Linked DNA regions of Stegostoma tigrinum. The protein of the gene in region 2 purifies or fractionates together with the protein of the main gene of each other region. This does not show direct contact. Links are inferred from orthologs where the notes say so. Each region holds a gene or a part of one and is shown on either strand. Other genes may lie near its edges.

Region 1 (8,069 bases), on a different chromosome or scaffold from region 2:
ACTCCCCCTCCAATTCTTTAGATGACATGTCCATCATGGGCCTCCTGCAGTGCCACAATGATGCCACCCGAAGGTTGCAGGAACAGCAACTCATATTCCACTTGGGAACCCTGCAGACCAATGGTATCAATGTGGACTTCACCAGCTTTAAAATCTCCCCTTCCCCTACTGCATCCCAAAACCAGCCGAGCTCATCCCCGCCTCCCTAACCTGTTCTTCCTCTCACCCATCCCTTCCTCCCACCCCAAGCCGCACCTCCATTTCCTACCTACTAACCTCATCCCACCTCCTTGACCTGTCCGTCTTCCCTGGACTGACCTATCCCCTGCCTACCTCCCCAACTATACTCTCCTCTCCACCTATCTTCTTTTCTCTCCATCTTCGGTCTGCCTCCCCCTCTCTCTCTATTTATTCCAGAACCCTCACCCCATCCCCCTCTCTGATGAAGGGTCTAGGCCCGAAACATCCGCTTTTGTGCTCCTGAGATGCTGCTTGGCCTGCTGTGTTCATCCAGCTCCACACTTCATTATCCAGGGTTTATAGGGATATGGCCCAATTGCTGGCAAATGGGACTAGATTAATTTAGGATATCTGGTTTGCAAGGATGAGTTGGACCGAAGGGTCTGTTTCCACGCTGTACATCTCTATGAGTATTGGTTTATAGGTTATCACTCTACAGTTGACATTTAAGGTCAATATCAATTCTTGCATAAATGCTAGAGGAAAACCAGTTCCCATGGATTTGTACCTCCGAAAGTATGTAGCATCTTGAGGAGAGTAACAAACAAAAGTTTCAGCAAGAAGAATAATAAAGATGTGAAAGACAAATACTGTTCCAACAGAGGGCACCCTCTGGAATTTGGGCTAATCGAATGTTTGGTTAATGAGTTTTCATATTGCTCTCATAAAGCCTCCAACAGCCAGTCTAAAGGCTGTCTTGTCTGATGACTAACCTCTGTTCATTCCTGTTGCTGCAAGCAGAAGGCAGAGCTGTAGCAAGAAAACCTTTGTCAGCATTTCCCCTCCCCAGATATGGAATGTCCCACATTGCTAAGTAGTCCTAGTCAGTTGCCTGGAGTCTACATTGCAACACATGCAATTCAAAAATATTCAAGGGTGTTATGTACATCATATTTCTACTTGAATTTATGTAAATGCCTGAGTTTCCACATTATTGGGAAATTGCATCCAAAATGCATGTGAAACTGCACTTGTGTTACAGCTCATGTTTAATGTTAAATTGATTTGCAAGTAGCAACGTGAAGCAACTTTACCAGCCAACAATATAATACCAAAAATAGTACTTTTAATGAGTGGTTTAAAAACCACACAAGATAACTTAAAACAATATGGAACCTTTTCGAAGTTTCACTGATGTACACTAATCTGTTTCCAACGTGGTTTATTTTTGATGAGAAAAAATCTTCCTGGGTTTCCTGTCTGTGAACTGAAGAAACAGAACATAATTTGAAGCACTTTCTCCAATCAATGCAATTGTCAGAATCTGTCAATTATAATTAGAGCATGGCCAGTTTTATAGGTGAGCTCTTGAATCAAATGAATTGAATCCCAAACCAGTGGAAGAGATGTCAGAAAAATGAACTCAGTAATTTTGGGTGCAATTTACCATATTTAAAATTCCCCAATCTTTGGCATGGGTGTGCCTGATTTCAGCTGCATTCAGCATTATCTTGTTGCACAAGGTGGAAATTACAATATATGGAATAGAGTCTGATTTGAACAATTTACATTAACCACTCATTCAAGCAGTTACAAAGTTTAGTGCTTGGTTGACTGAAAACCGAGGCATCAGTGATGGGATGAATGAAATGGGAGTTATGCAAGAGGCCAGTGTCTAGTGGGGTTTGTTTTGACCACACAAGTGGACAGGGTAGTAAAGAAGGCATATGGCATGCTTGCCTTTATTGGTCAGGGCATTTAGTACAAGTGTCAGGATGTCATGTTGCAGCTTTATAAGACTTTGGTTAGGCTGCACTTAAGTATTGTGTTCAGTTCTGATAGCCACATTACAGGAAGGATGTGAAGATTTTGGAGAGGGTGCCAAAGAGGTTTACCAGGATGCTGCCTGGATTTGAGTGTACAAGCTGTAAGGAGAGCATAGGAAAAGTAGGGATGTTTTCTCTGGAGCAGTGAGACTGAAGGGAGACTTGATAGAAGTCTATAAAATTATGAAACGCGTACATAGGGTTGATAGTCAGAATCTTTTGTTTGGAGATGAAATGTCCTATTCTAGGGAGCATTCATTTAAGGTGAAAGGGAAAAAGTTCAAAGGAAAATTGAGGGTCAAGTTTTTTTACATCAAGAGTGGTAGGTGTTTGGAACATGCTGCTAGGAGTAGGGAGGCAGATACGACAGGGACATTTATTGGACTTTGAGAAAAGCACATGAACATGCAAGGGATGGAGGGATAGGGACCAAGAGCTGAGGGGATTAGTTTGACGTGATGTCATGTTTGGCACAACATTGCAGGCCAAAGGGCTTGTTCCTTTGTAGTACTGTTCTGTGTTCCATATTAAGAGCTCTTATGGAGCTGCACAGCTAGAGAATAAGGGTGAGGCCACAGCGCTCTGTTATAGGAATGCTATTATTAAATTGGAGAGCGTTCAGAAAATAATTAGATCATAAAATCCCTATAGTGTAGAAACAGGCCCTTCGACCCAACAAGTCCACACTGACCCTTGGAGCATCCTACCCAGACTCACCCCCCTGTACCGAAGCTACACATCCCTGGACACTATGCAATTTAGCACGGCCAATCCACCTAACTTGAACATCTTTGGACTGTGGGAGGAAACCACAGCACCCGGAGGAAACCCACACAGACAGTCACCCAAATATGGAATCGAACCCGGGTGACAGCAGTGCTAACTACTGAACCACTGTGCTGGGACTGGGGGATTTGAATTATAAGGATAGGCTGGATAGAATGTGAGCTTTTTCACTGGAGCATAGGAGGTTAAGAGGTGAGATTTACAAAATCATGACGGGCATCTATAAGGTGAGTAGCAAAGGTCTTTTCCAGGGGTGGGAGTTCTCGTTAAGGTGGCACATTTTTAAGGTGAGAGGAGAAAGATTTAAAAGGGACCCAAAGAGCAAAGTTTTCACAGAGGGTGGTTTGTGTGTGGAATGAACTGCCAGAGGAAGTGGTGGATGCAGGTACAGTTACCACATCTAAAAGACATTTGGACAGGTATGTGGAAAGTTTTGGAAGGATATGTGCCAAATTCAGGCAAATGGGACTAGTTTAGTTTGAGAAACTTGTTTGGCATGGGCGATCTGCTCGGTTCTGTGACTCTACGGTAGTAGACATCAATCGCTTCAGTCTTTCCAATGTTTAATTTGAGAAATTGAGTTTATCCAGGATTGGGCATTTAACAAGCAGTCTAACAATACAGAGATAATAAAAGCCTGGAGAAAGTAGAGGTGAGTATTGTCAGAATATTTATGGAATCCAATGTGATAATTTCTGCTCATGTTCGTAAGGAAATGTGAATGGAAATTGGAGGGGAGACCTACAAAGACTTTCAGCATAAAGATCGGTTGACAAGAAGGGAAGCCACTGCAGCAGGTTTGCTGATTACGACCGGATTGGTAAGACTAGAACAGAGCAAGACCACTTCTGGCCAACTGAACAATAACGATCATGTTAAAGGCCACAAGCAGGTTGAAAAAGTTGAGGAAAATTAGTGTACCACTGTCATAATTATGTAGAATGTAACTTGTGATTTTGATAAAATTTGGTTTTGTGATGCAGCAGGGCTCATGAGAGAGTGACAAATATGGAATTGTGGGAAACACGGACATGATTTGGGAGGCAGCAAAATGTTCACAGTTTTAGGACGGAATGCCGAAAACAAACATTTCATTAGTCTGATATTAATTGATGAAGAACTATGTTTTGTATTTCCCTTTGCTTGTTCTTTTAATACGGACTGTGCAAATTTTATGATGGGGAAGTTTTTATTTCTTGGGAGATGCATTTCAAATTGATTGTAAATTTTATATTACTACACAAACAAGAGTTCGTCATGGTCTTCAACTGTATTTTGATATAGTAATACCCCTTGCTGTGGCAATAAGAAAATAAAAGCTGATGACAAGGTACTTTGTCTCTTTAACCATCTGCATGCTTCTGTTTTAATGCATTCGCTAAAATTAGTTGGCAACATTAAATAAAATTTACCTAAAGAACAAATTGTGAGGAATCAAATTATTGCAATCTAAGTTTTCTTTTGATAGTCTAAATTGCTTAGATGTATTACACAGGAGATTTAAGTGAGCAAAATATTGGAACTTGCTTTGAGAAAATTAATGAAAAGTTATTTTAATCCACCGTCTGAATGTTGTACGTATTTAGCAATTTGCAAACGATGAGCAGTGCAATTGCCAGACAGTAATGAATTGGCTTGGTGCAAACAATGTACTCCCCCTGCTCCTCACCCCAAAACTCATTAATTAGAAAATCAAAGGTCATCTTGTTTCAAAACCACCCTCGCTTAAATTCCCCCCTCCCATGTAAACTTTCCAGGGTACTGGTTTGGGGATGATTAACAGAATGCATAACCTTGAGTGCCAAATACCACACACACCCCTGCCATTTTCTTTTTGGCCGGGATGTTCCCATGCCACGGTACACACAGCAACGAATGGGACTTTCTTTAATATTTTCACACAGCTTCCGAAATTTCCACCTACTTCAACGTTCAACAGAAAAGAAACCGGAAGGGCTTCAGCAAACGTAAACCAATAAAAAAGAAGATAGTGCAGAATAATGTGCATCGTAGACAAACTTCACGCTAATAGTTATGAGAACAAACCCTTAAATGTAATTAAATGCGAAGCTGAGTTCTTCCTTCTGGGATGCCCTGTGTATTTTTGAATTGCGGCCTATTGAGGGATTTTCCCTCCTTGTTCCATTCGGTACACTGCGTTCTTTTTCTAATTGAGCACATTAACTGCTTTGGAATTTCCCAGCCAAAAAGGCAACTGGAGCTTGGAGGCGGTGACATGAAAGCTCCGCCCAGAAAAAGCCCCGAACTGGAGTTTATAAATGTTGTCGCGCAGAGTAACGTCTGCAGTCCTGAGACGTGGCAGAGGAGTTATTTGCGTGTGGTGAATTTGGCAGCGTCTTTTATCCGTTGCCTGTTTGGGTTGAGTTTTTGTTTGCTTGTCTACTTCACTGGGATACTCTTACTGTGCAAAAGTCATGGCCGATCCTACCATATTTAATAACCGCGCTGACATCTTGGATAATCGCGGCAATGGGAAACTAGATTACTCGGGCGGCTCGTTGCACCCCGGAGTCGGCAAACAGGCTCCGCTTTGGGAGGAGCGGTGTGACAGCGGCATCGGCTCAATGAATGAGAAGGACGAGGAGGTTCTACGGGAGATCCAGGAGCTGAGCCTGGACGACAAACCGGAGCCAACCCAGTGTTGGAAAGATTTCATCTCGGAGGATGGAGATACGTAAGTGACTTGGAGGCCTTTTTAAAAGTAGAGTAAGGGTCTTGGTGGGGGGCGGGTGTTTGGGTATACAGAAACTGAGCAATGCATGTTGCCCCAGAACCCCCTGATTGGAGAAAGTAAAGTTGGAAGAATTAATACGTCTCTAAAACAGCAATTTACCAAACGCTGAAGGTTTGCAGAACCCTACCAGTTAAATGTCAAGACAGTATCCAGTATGCAAATATAATATTTAATAGAAAAGTTTCATTGTAATTATTTTTCAGATGAAAGTGGATTTAAAGTTTTTTTTTAAAAAAAGCTGAACAGGGTGTTAAATAAACTAATCTCTATTGAGGGCATGGAATCTGTTGAAAGGCTTTTTGAGAACATCATGTTCTAGCAGTAACTGCGCTGGGCGGTACAGTTCCTGTTTGACGCTGGAAAGTCCCTGGCAGGCGGCCAGCTAGTGGTTGTCTGATAAATATTTAACTGTGGAAAGTACCCAAAAAACCCGACCTTGCGCAATCCTGGAGAGTTCCAGTCTTTAGTGCTGAGCTGCTGTGCAGAGTTTCCCCGATGTAGCAAGTTTTAACATGACATTTTCCTCCTTTTAGATTTCTGCATTTGGCGATCATCCATACAGCCAAAGAAATCGTATCCCAAATCCTCGCCAATACCCAGTCTGGCGATCAGTACCTTCATCGTCAGAATAACCTGAAACAGGTAAATATTTTCAACTGATTAATACAAATATTTGGGAATATATATTAATATTTAATAAGTTTTATGCAAAACGCTGACATTACTATTTTGTATTTAATAAATTGGGGACTGTGCTAGATTAATTATAATCTTATGAGAATGTATTGTTCTGCCTGAAGCAGCTAAATAGGTGGTTCCTGTTTGCATTGGAAAGTCCCCACCATATTAATAAATGCTGTGGATACTGGCGTGGGGCGTTAAAAAACACTGCAGTTTTCCTTCGTATTGTGTGTTTCCATGGTTTACCCTGCAGTATTCCCACTGTAATTCTTTTGTTCTGTTTTGTTCAGACACCCTTGCATCTGGCAGTGATCACACAGCAGCCTGATATGCTACGTGCCTTGTTGTGGGCTGGAGGAGATCTGGGATTGAAGGACATTAACGGGAACTCAGCTTTACACATCGCTTGTGAGATGAATATGTTCTTGTGCGTGAAAACCATCAGCGATTTCCTCACAAGACACCATACCCGAGAACTTTTGGACAACAAGAATTACAATGGTACATTTGCCTTTTATATGTGCAGCTCAAATATGAATTCCATTCTTTAAAATAAATTATGCATTTTCAAAACATTAAATTATTATTAAATATAATGTCTAATTTCTTTAAAAGCAATTGCTGTAGCTGCTTTCTTGTGACTAGCTACTTTTTTTAGATAAATATGCAAATTAAAGCTGTAATGTCAATCACTAATAATCACTAATTAATATATTGGACAATGAATATTTATTGTTGCACATATCTGAGACTTCTTCATTTTCCCATTTTAGGCCTTACATGTTTGCAGCTGGCAGTCAAAAACAGACTTCACAAGATGGTGGTCTATCTAATTCAGATTGGAGCTGATATTAACGCTCAGGTATAATAAAGTTTTAATTTCCTAAATAATGATAATCTCTCAATTGATGGCAAATTAAACAGTTACTTTCTGGCATTCACTTTCATGGTATGTAGTAACTGTAAGGTTTGTTTTCTGCACAGGAGCCATCAAGTGGTCGGACAGCTCTCCATCTTGCAGTGGAGGAGCAGGATGCTGAAATGGTGTCACTTTTGCTGCAGTGTGGAGCAGACCCCAATGTGCTCACTTACAATGGTTGTACACCGTATCATCTGACCTTGGGAAGAGAGAATTCTAGGATACAGACAGAACTTATCCATGTGACAGATCCATCTCTATGTATGATGTGGGATGAAGAAAAGATATGGGAATCTGAAACTCCTGACCATGAGGTGAGTGTGCTGGAAATAGACTATTATAGCCACTGAAATGCTTAAAGATTAGATTTACAGTAATTGGTTGTTCACCTCTACACAAACATGTCTTTTAGAATAAAAACCATCATCTTGATAAATTATTTCTATAATCTGAGGTATCAGTGTAAAGATGTTTGTCACTGATATTGTTGCTAATGTGTCATTCATTATTTCCCCAGATACCTTTCTCTTACGATGACTGTGCAATTGGAGGACGCCCGCTCAGGTGTTGAAGATGCTTTCTTTGTGCATTGCTGTATTTCAAGTCATCTGAAAAGAACTAAATATGCATATCAAAGTGTGGTTGCCCAACCATTTGGTTTGATGAAAAGCTTCAGTGACATACACTAAGATTTCTAAGTCACACAGTTGGGTGGCACGGTCTGATATTCTAAATAGTTTGTAATATAAATAAAAATCTTTTCAGAAGTGGAGAATGCAGTGCTACAAATCTTAGATGTAAATTATATACTATTGTGCAAGTGATACCGTTGTATGTGCTGTTTTCAATTATTATAACTGGTTGAAAAGATTTTTCAACATTTAAGTTCTTGTGCATATTTGTATTGTGTAAAAATTGTAAA
Region 2 (7,472 bases):
TCAATCTGTGAAATGACAAGAAGATGAAATGCCAGGGCCATGCTTGTGGACAGGGTAGAGGTGTTAGCAAAATGTGCACCCAGCCTCCATTAACAGCTATTCACCCTCCTAGCCAGATTGTTACCCAGGTCTCACCAATGTAGAAGAGACCACATTGTGAACAGTGACAACAGTCAACTAGATTGAAAGAAATGCAAGCAAAGTTATGTTTGGCACCTTGGACAGCGAGGAGACAGGAGATAAAGGGGGAAAGTGTAACATCTTCGGCATTGTATAGGAAGGCGCTACGTTTAGGTGAATGGGTATTAGAAACGACAAAAGAATGAATCATAGATGGAGCAGTCCTTTGGAATGCTGACAATGGAAGGGAAAGGCCAGTGTGTTTGGGATGGTATCCTGCTCAAGGTGACGGAAATGGCGGAGGATGATCCTTTGAATGCAGAGGCAAGTGAAGTCATGGGAAATCCTGCTGTGGTCCAGAAAGGGAGGGAAAGGGTTGAGGAAGAAGTGTGGGAAATGGGTTAGATAGTTGAGGGCCCTGTCAACCACAGAGGGACGGCAGAGGAGACTCCTTGGTTAAAGAAAAACAAAGATATATCAGAAGTGCCATTTTGGAAGTTAGCATTATTGAAATAGATGCAATGGAGATAGAAAAAACTGGGACAAAGGGTGGAATATTTACAGAAAGCAATGAGTGCAGACCTGTAGTCAAGGTAGTTATAGGAGTTAATGGGTTTGTAAAGAATATTGGTTGATAGCCTATCTTTGGAAATAGAGACTGACAATCAAGGAAGGGAAGAATCAGAGGTGAGTTGGTGAAGGTAGATAGAAATTGGAAGTAAAGTTGATTTTTTTTGTTAATTCTTAATGAGAGAAAGAAATGGCACTGATGACATCATCGATATTTTGGAGAAAGTGTGTGGGAGGAAGTCCAAGTAGGACTGGAAAATGAATGCTCCTCATTCCCCACAAAGGGAAAGGCATAACTGGGACACATCCAGATAACTGCTACCACACTTTTCATTTGGAAAAATTGAGAGAGGGCAGCCAAGAGGAATGTGTGATTGGTCACATGGGGAAACACAGACCCTACTAGAATCAAGGATGACCATGCCTAAAGGAAGTGCTCCCAAATGCAAACTTGAGAAGAGTTTGAACAGTGGCTGGAGACACTGTGGAAAATCCATGAGCTGAGGCTTACATGGATAACACATTTAGAGAGGTAGTCACCCTACAGCAGAAGGGGCTGGAGGGAAGAAAAGAAGGGATGGTCACCTGGGAAAGAGGATAAGGCAGGTAGAGCAGGAGTCTGCTGTGGCCCTGCTGACAAATCAATTTCCCATTTTGGAAGCTGAGGGGGGTGGTGATGTCTCAAAGGAATGTAGTCAGAGACAGGGTTCTGGCACCACAAGCGGCTTGAGGAAGAAAGGAACAAAGCTAATGATAGAAGATTTCACGTTTGGGCAACAGACAGGTGTTTATGCAGCTGCAGATGTGACTTCAGGGTAATGAATTGCCTCTTTGGAGCTGGGTCAGGAATGTCACTGAGCAGCTGCAGGACACTCAGAAAGGGGGAGGGCGGTAAGAGGCCATGGCACACATTGGTACCAGTGACATAGGGAGAATAAAAGATGAGGTCTTGCATCAAGAATTCAGGGAGCTAGGGAGTAGATTGAGAAGGAGGGCTTCAAAGTTTGTTATCTCTGCATTCCTGCCAGTGCCATGTGCAAATGAGTACAGAAATAGGAAAATAGGGCAGATGAATGCATGGTTCAAAAGTTGGTGCAAGAAGAAGGGTTTTAGATTCCTAGATCGCTGAAATTGTTTCTGGAGAAGATTTTGAGCAATGCTGTAATGCTTCCAATCTTCGCCCAAGTGAGAAAATGACTAAATGAATATAGCTGTGAATTTGGTTCAAAGTGCAAATCCAACAGGTGAATCTATTTCAAGTGTAACGTTGAGTAGAGGTCAGATTCAGTCCTGAAGTCAAAATCTTTAATTAAGTTAAAACAGCTTGATTCGTAAGTTATTTATCAATTGCTTGAATGAGGGGTATTGAATTCTGTAGTAGGAACTAAGCTTAAAAAATTACTTGCCTGAGGGATTTTTAAATCCAATGGACACTAAGGAACATGAGCAAACATGAAGGTACCTTTGCCTGATAAATAGACAAAGGATGATTCAGTATGTCCGGGAATTTGGTTCAATGTGGTAATTCAAAGAGTCACAAATTCATACAGCACAGAAACAGACCCTGCGGTCCAACTGGTCTGCGCCAGACATTCCAATCTGCTCTAGTTTCATATCCCTTTAAATGCTTTCTATTCCTAAAAGAAGAAGAAAAAATGGGGCGGCATTGTCGCCCGGTGGTTAACACTGCTGCTTCACCACAGGGTTCGATTCCAGCCTCAAGTGACTGTCTGTGTGGAGTGTGCACATTCTTCCTGTGCCTGCGTGGCTTTCCTCCGGGTGCTCCGGTTTCCTCCCACAGTCCAAAGATATGCAGGTTATGTGAATTGGCCATGCTACATTGACCAAAGTGTTCAGGGATGTGTAGATTAGGCAGCTTATAGGGGAATGGGTCTGGGAGAGATGCTCTCAGGATTGGTGTGGGCTTGTTGGGCCAAAGGGCCCTGTTTCCACACTGTAGGGATTCTGTGATTCTTATATGCCCATCCAGGTGCCTTTTAAATTTTGCAATGGTACCCACTTCTACCACTTCTTCTGGCAGCTCATTCCATACAAACACCACCCTCTGCATGAGAAAGTTACCCTTCAGGTCCTTTTTAAATCTTTTCCCTTTTACCTTAAACTGTGCCCTGTAGTTTTGGGCTCCCCCATCCAATTAAAAGCATATTTGGAAAAGCTTAGCAAGCTAGTCATGTATGATTTACCCTTCATAAACCATACTGACTCTGATGGATGCATTTTGGCTTCCCAAATATCTGTTATATTTCTTTAATATAATGAAACAAATGAAACATACAAAATAGCTTGGTTTATAGTTTCCTACTTACTGCTTACTTCGCTTTTTTGGATATCTTTCCAATTCACTGGAACCTCTCATATCCAGGCTTTTTCCATAAATTATAACCAACTGATCCACTAGTTCTGCTGCCACCTCTTTTAAGATCCTAGGATACATACCATCAAGCCCTGGTGACTTGTCTTTCTTCAATTCCAAAAGTGTACTTTTTCCCTAAATGTAATGCAGTGGAAGATAAAGAGATAGCAAGGTGTAGAGCTGGATAAACACAGCAGGCCGAGCTGCATCAGAGGAGCAGGAGGGCTGATGTTTTGGGCCTAGACACTTCTTCAGAAATGGGGGAGAGGAAGGAGGTTCTGAAATAAATAGGGAGAGAGGGGGAGGCGGATAGTAGAGCTGGCTGTTACTTAAATGGAGAAAGACGGCAGAATGCTGCAGCAAAAATGAATTTGGGAGTCTTTGTGCATAAATCTCAAAAAAACTAGGTTGGCAGGTAATAGAGAAGGCAAACAGAATGTTGGCATTCATTTTAAAGGGAAAGGATTTGTCTTGGCCAGTTAGCTCAGTCAGTTAGAGCTTGGTGCTAAATACAGCAAGGTTGCAGCAAGATCCATGTATGGAGCATTTCATCTAGGGGACACCTTTGGCTACTAGTCCAGAATATTAGGCCAGTGTTCTGGGGCTCTTGGTTTGAATCCCATCACGGCAGATGTTGTAATAAAAATCTGCCGTAGACAGCTAGTCTAGTAATGACCATGCAACTACTGCAGATTGTTGTAAAAATCCAACTCATTAATGCCTTGTAGGAAAGGAAATCTGCTGCTTTGGCCTGGTCTGGTATACCTATTACTCCAGACACACAGAAATTCACTCTTAACTGTCCTCTGAGCATTTAGGGGATAGGCAATAAATGCCGGGCTAGTCAGTAACACCCACATCCCATGAATGAAAAATAATAAAACAATTATAAAATAGGGAAGTCTTCTTGAAACTTTCGAAGCCATGAGTTAGACCACACCTAGAGTACTGTGAACAATTTTGGTCCTCTTAGCTAAGGAAATAAATACCGACATTGAAACTGGTCAAGGGAAAGTTCTCTCATTTGCTCCCGGGGATGGAGCAATTTATTTATGAGGAGAGGTTGAGTAGGTTGGGTCTGTATTTATTAGAATATAGAAAAATAAGAGACAACCTTATTGAAGATTCTTAGGTAGACAAAGTCAGAACCGTCGCTGATTTTTCATTATTTTTATTTTTATTCTTTCATCAATTTTGATTCAGAGCTGCGAACTGGGAGTTATGAGCTGAGAATAACTTGCGGACTTTGGAACAACTTGTGGTAAAAGGAAAAGACAGAACAAACAAGTTTCTGTTTGCTTGTGAGGCCAGCCCTGGAGGTTAACAGCAGGCTGATTCTTGATTAGAAAGGTTTCCACAGATGAGGTCAGTATTTGGGAACTGGTTCAGCGAGTCTGGAAGCAACCCCACACTCAAGCAGATGGAAGATGTTGAATGGTAATTGCGGCCTCGGGAAAAGACGTTCCAGTCTATCATGGTGGAACAAGAGTCTGGGTTGTGGTCGAACTGTTTCCAGGAGGAGATAAGTGTGGCTGCTGACATCACAACATGAATATTTGAAAGCTCTCTGCCCAATCTCCCACACTGGCTTTTAGATGCCCAGAGAGTAGAAAGCTAAGCTGCAAATATTGCCACCTTTACCTGAGTAAACTAAGGTGATCCTGATTGGTGGTTCCTGAAAAGTAACCAAGGAGTCCACATCTATGCCTATGCAACAACACATTGCGAAAATCACGTAAGTAATCTAACCTGTCTTGTGATTTCCTTTTATTTATCCCCTAACTATGTTTATTTGTCTACCTTTGACAATCTAAGAAAAGGTGGAAAAGGTGCAGAGGAGATTTACCAGGATGTTGCCTGGTCTGGGACCCAGGCCCTATGAAGAAAGGATGAGGGATTTGGGTCTGCTCTCATTGGAGAGAAGCAGGCTAAGAGGGGATTTAATAGAGACATACAAGATGATAGAGGATTAGATAGGGTGGACAGTGAGAGTCTTTTTCCGAGGATGATGACTTCAGCTTTTTCAAGGGGGCATAGCTACAAATTGAGGGGTGATAGATTTAAGACAGATGTCAGAGGCAGGTTCTTTACTCAGAGAGTGGTAAGGGTGTGGAATGCCCTGCCTGCCAATGTAGTTAACTCAGCCACATTAGGGGCATTTAAACAGTCCTTGGATAAGCATATGGATAACGATGGGATAGTGTAGGGGGAGAGGCTTAGATTAGTTCACAGGTCGGCACGACATCGAGGGCCGAAGGGCCCGTTCTGCGCTGTATTGTTCAATGTTCTATGTTCTATGTTCTTTTGCATGAATGTGGGTTGAAACCAAATGTTTCAGGTTTAAAGTATAGACATTAATGAGATTAACGTTGTTTAATTTTCTTTCTGCTAAAGTTCTTGCATATTTAATAAGTACTTGTCTTTTGTTTAAGAATCAAAACTGGTGTCCAGAATTAATTATTCACACAGTCTGAGTTTGACTATTCAAAAGTCTGTTCGGGGACTGTTGGGGTTAACTATTGACAGTCTCTGACAGTTTAAATTGACTGAGTTGCAAATACAGAGGTAGAAAGTGTGATTTGGTTTGGCTGTCTATCTCCACGTTATAACAACAAGGTAGGTGTGGAGAGGTTGTTTCCACCTGTGGGGTAATCTAGGATCAGACAGCATAATTTCAAAGTAAGAAATTACTTATTTAAGACAAAGGTAAGAAGGAATTTCTTCTCTAAGTGTTTGTGGAATTTGCAGAATTCTTTATCACAGTGAGTTGTTGAAGCAAGTCATGAAATATACACAAAGCTGAGATCATTCAGCTTTGATCTAATCGAATGGCAGAGCAGATACAATAGGCTGAATGGACTACTTCACCAAAGATCCTTAGACAGAATCTTCCAAACCTATGACCACTTCCATCTGGAAGGACAAAGGCAATAGATAGCTAGGAATACCACCCCCTGCAAGCATTAGATCTGAATTTACTGGAATATTTGCCAATTTTATATGTGGAAGTGACACAAGTAGTCTTTTTCTTAATTTAAGGTCTCTGAATGCCCAACTTAATGATGGATTCTAGTGTTTACCTTTTGACAAGTGTCAAACTATTGGGATAGTGTTTTTCGTCTCTCTCTGTTCTTGAATAAAGTTGTTATATTTGCAGCTTTCCAAAATGCTGGGGCCTTTTCAGGGGATTTTGAGAGGGTTTTTAAAATTCATTCGGGGGAAATGGGCATTCTTGGCTAGCCAGCATTTATTACTCAACACATATTCACTATAATCTGATATTGCTGCTTCTCAGCTTCTCCAATTTAAAGCCAATTAAACCTTCATTTAGAGTCATAGAGCTGTACAGCATTGAAACAAACCCTCAGTCCAATTTAATCCATGCCGACCAGATATCCCAAATTAATCTAGTCCCATTTGCCGGCATTTGGTCCATATTGCTCAAAGCCCTTCCTATTTATGTATCCATCGAGATGCCTTTTAAATGTTGTAATTGCACCAGCCTCCACTACCTCCTCTGGCATTTCAATCCATATGCGCACCACACTCTGTGTGAAAAAAGTTACCTCTCACATCCTTTTTAAATCTTTTCCCTCTCACCTTAAACCCTCCAGTTTTGGACTTCCCTACCCTGGGAAAAAACCTCGGCTATTCAAATTATCCATGCCCCTCATGATTTTATAAACCTCTCAAAGGTCATCCCTCAGCCTGCAAGGCTCCTGGGAAAATAGCCCCAGCGTATTCAGTGTCTCCCTAAATCTCAAACCCTCTAATACCGGCAATGTCCTTGAAAGGGCTCAGAAAAGGTTTACAAGTTTAACGACATCTTTCCTATAGCAGGGAGACCAGAATTGATTGCAATTTCTAAAAGTGGCCTAACCAATGTCCTGAACAGCTACATCATGACCTCCCAACTCATACTCAATGCACTGGCCAATAAAGACAAGCGTACCAAATGCATTCTTCCCTACCCTTTCTACCTGTGATTCCACTTTCAAGGAACTATGGACCCATGCTCCAAGGTTACTTTTTTCAGCAACATTCCTCAGGGCCCTACCATTAAGTATATAAGGCCTGCCCTGGTTTGCCATGCCAAAATGCAGCATCTTACATTTATATAATTTAAACTCGATCTGCCAGTCCATTAGTCCACCTGATCAAGGTTCCATTGTACTCCGAGAAAATCTTCTTCACTGTCCACTACACCATCAATTTTGATGTCACCTGTAAATTTACTAACTATTCCTCTTATATTCACAGTTAACTGCTTGATGTAAATGGCAAAAAGCAGTGGATCCAGCACCAATCCTTGCAAATACACCACTGGTTACAGGCCTCCAGTCCAAAAAACAACCTTCCTCCACTACCCTCTGTTTCCAACCTTCAAGCAAATTTTGTAACCAAATTA

What was found. The genes of interacting proteins can lie anywhere in the genome.
Region 1: the proteins of nuclear factor NF-kappa-B p100 subunit-like (region 2) and nfkbiab purify together in Homo sapiens (affinity purification with mass spectrometry; 6 studies listed by BioGRID and IntAct, counting the BioPlex papers as one, with this or other methods). This does not show direct contact. The link is inferred for Stegostoma tigrinum from reciprocal best matches to the Homo sapiens genes NFKB2 and NFKBIA.

What each region holds. Positions count from the first base shown.
Region 1 is NC_081363.1:55,992,021-56,000,089, reverse strand, and holds the start of nfkbiab (nuclear factor of kappa light polypeptide gene enhancer in B-cells inhibitor, alpha b), read left to right. Parts: upstream 1-5,049; 5' UTR 5,050-5,227; coding exon 5,228-5,487; intron 5,488-6,080; coding exon 6,081-6,189; intron 6,190-6,518; coding exon 6,519-6,729; intron 6,730-7,001; coding exon 7,002-7,090; intron 7,091-7,212; coding exon 7,213-7,461; intron 7,462-7,664; coding exon 7,665-7,718; 3' UTR 7,719-8,069. UniProt on the Homo sapiens protein: Inhibits the activity of dimeric NF-kappa-B/REL complexes by trapping REL (RELA/p65 and NFKB1/p50) dimers in the cytoplasm by masking their nuclear localization signals.
Region 2 is NC_081390.1:1,059,590-1,067,061, reverse strand, and holds the start of nuclear factor NF-kappa-B p100 subunit-like, read left to right. Parts: upstream 1-4,414; 5' UTR 4,415-4,767; coding exon 4,768-4,799; intron 4,800-7,472. UniProt on the Homo sapiens protein: NF-kappa-B is a pleiotropic transcription factor present in almost all cell types and is the endpoint of a series of signal transduction events that are initiated by a vast array of stimuli related to many biological processes such as inflammation, immunity, differentiation, cell growth, tumorigenesis and apoptosis.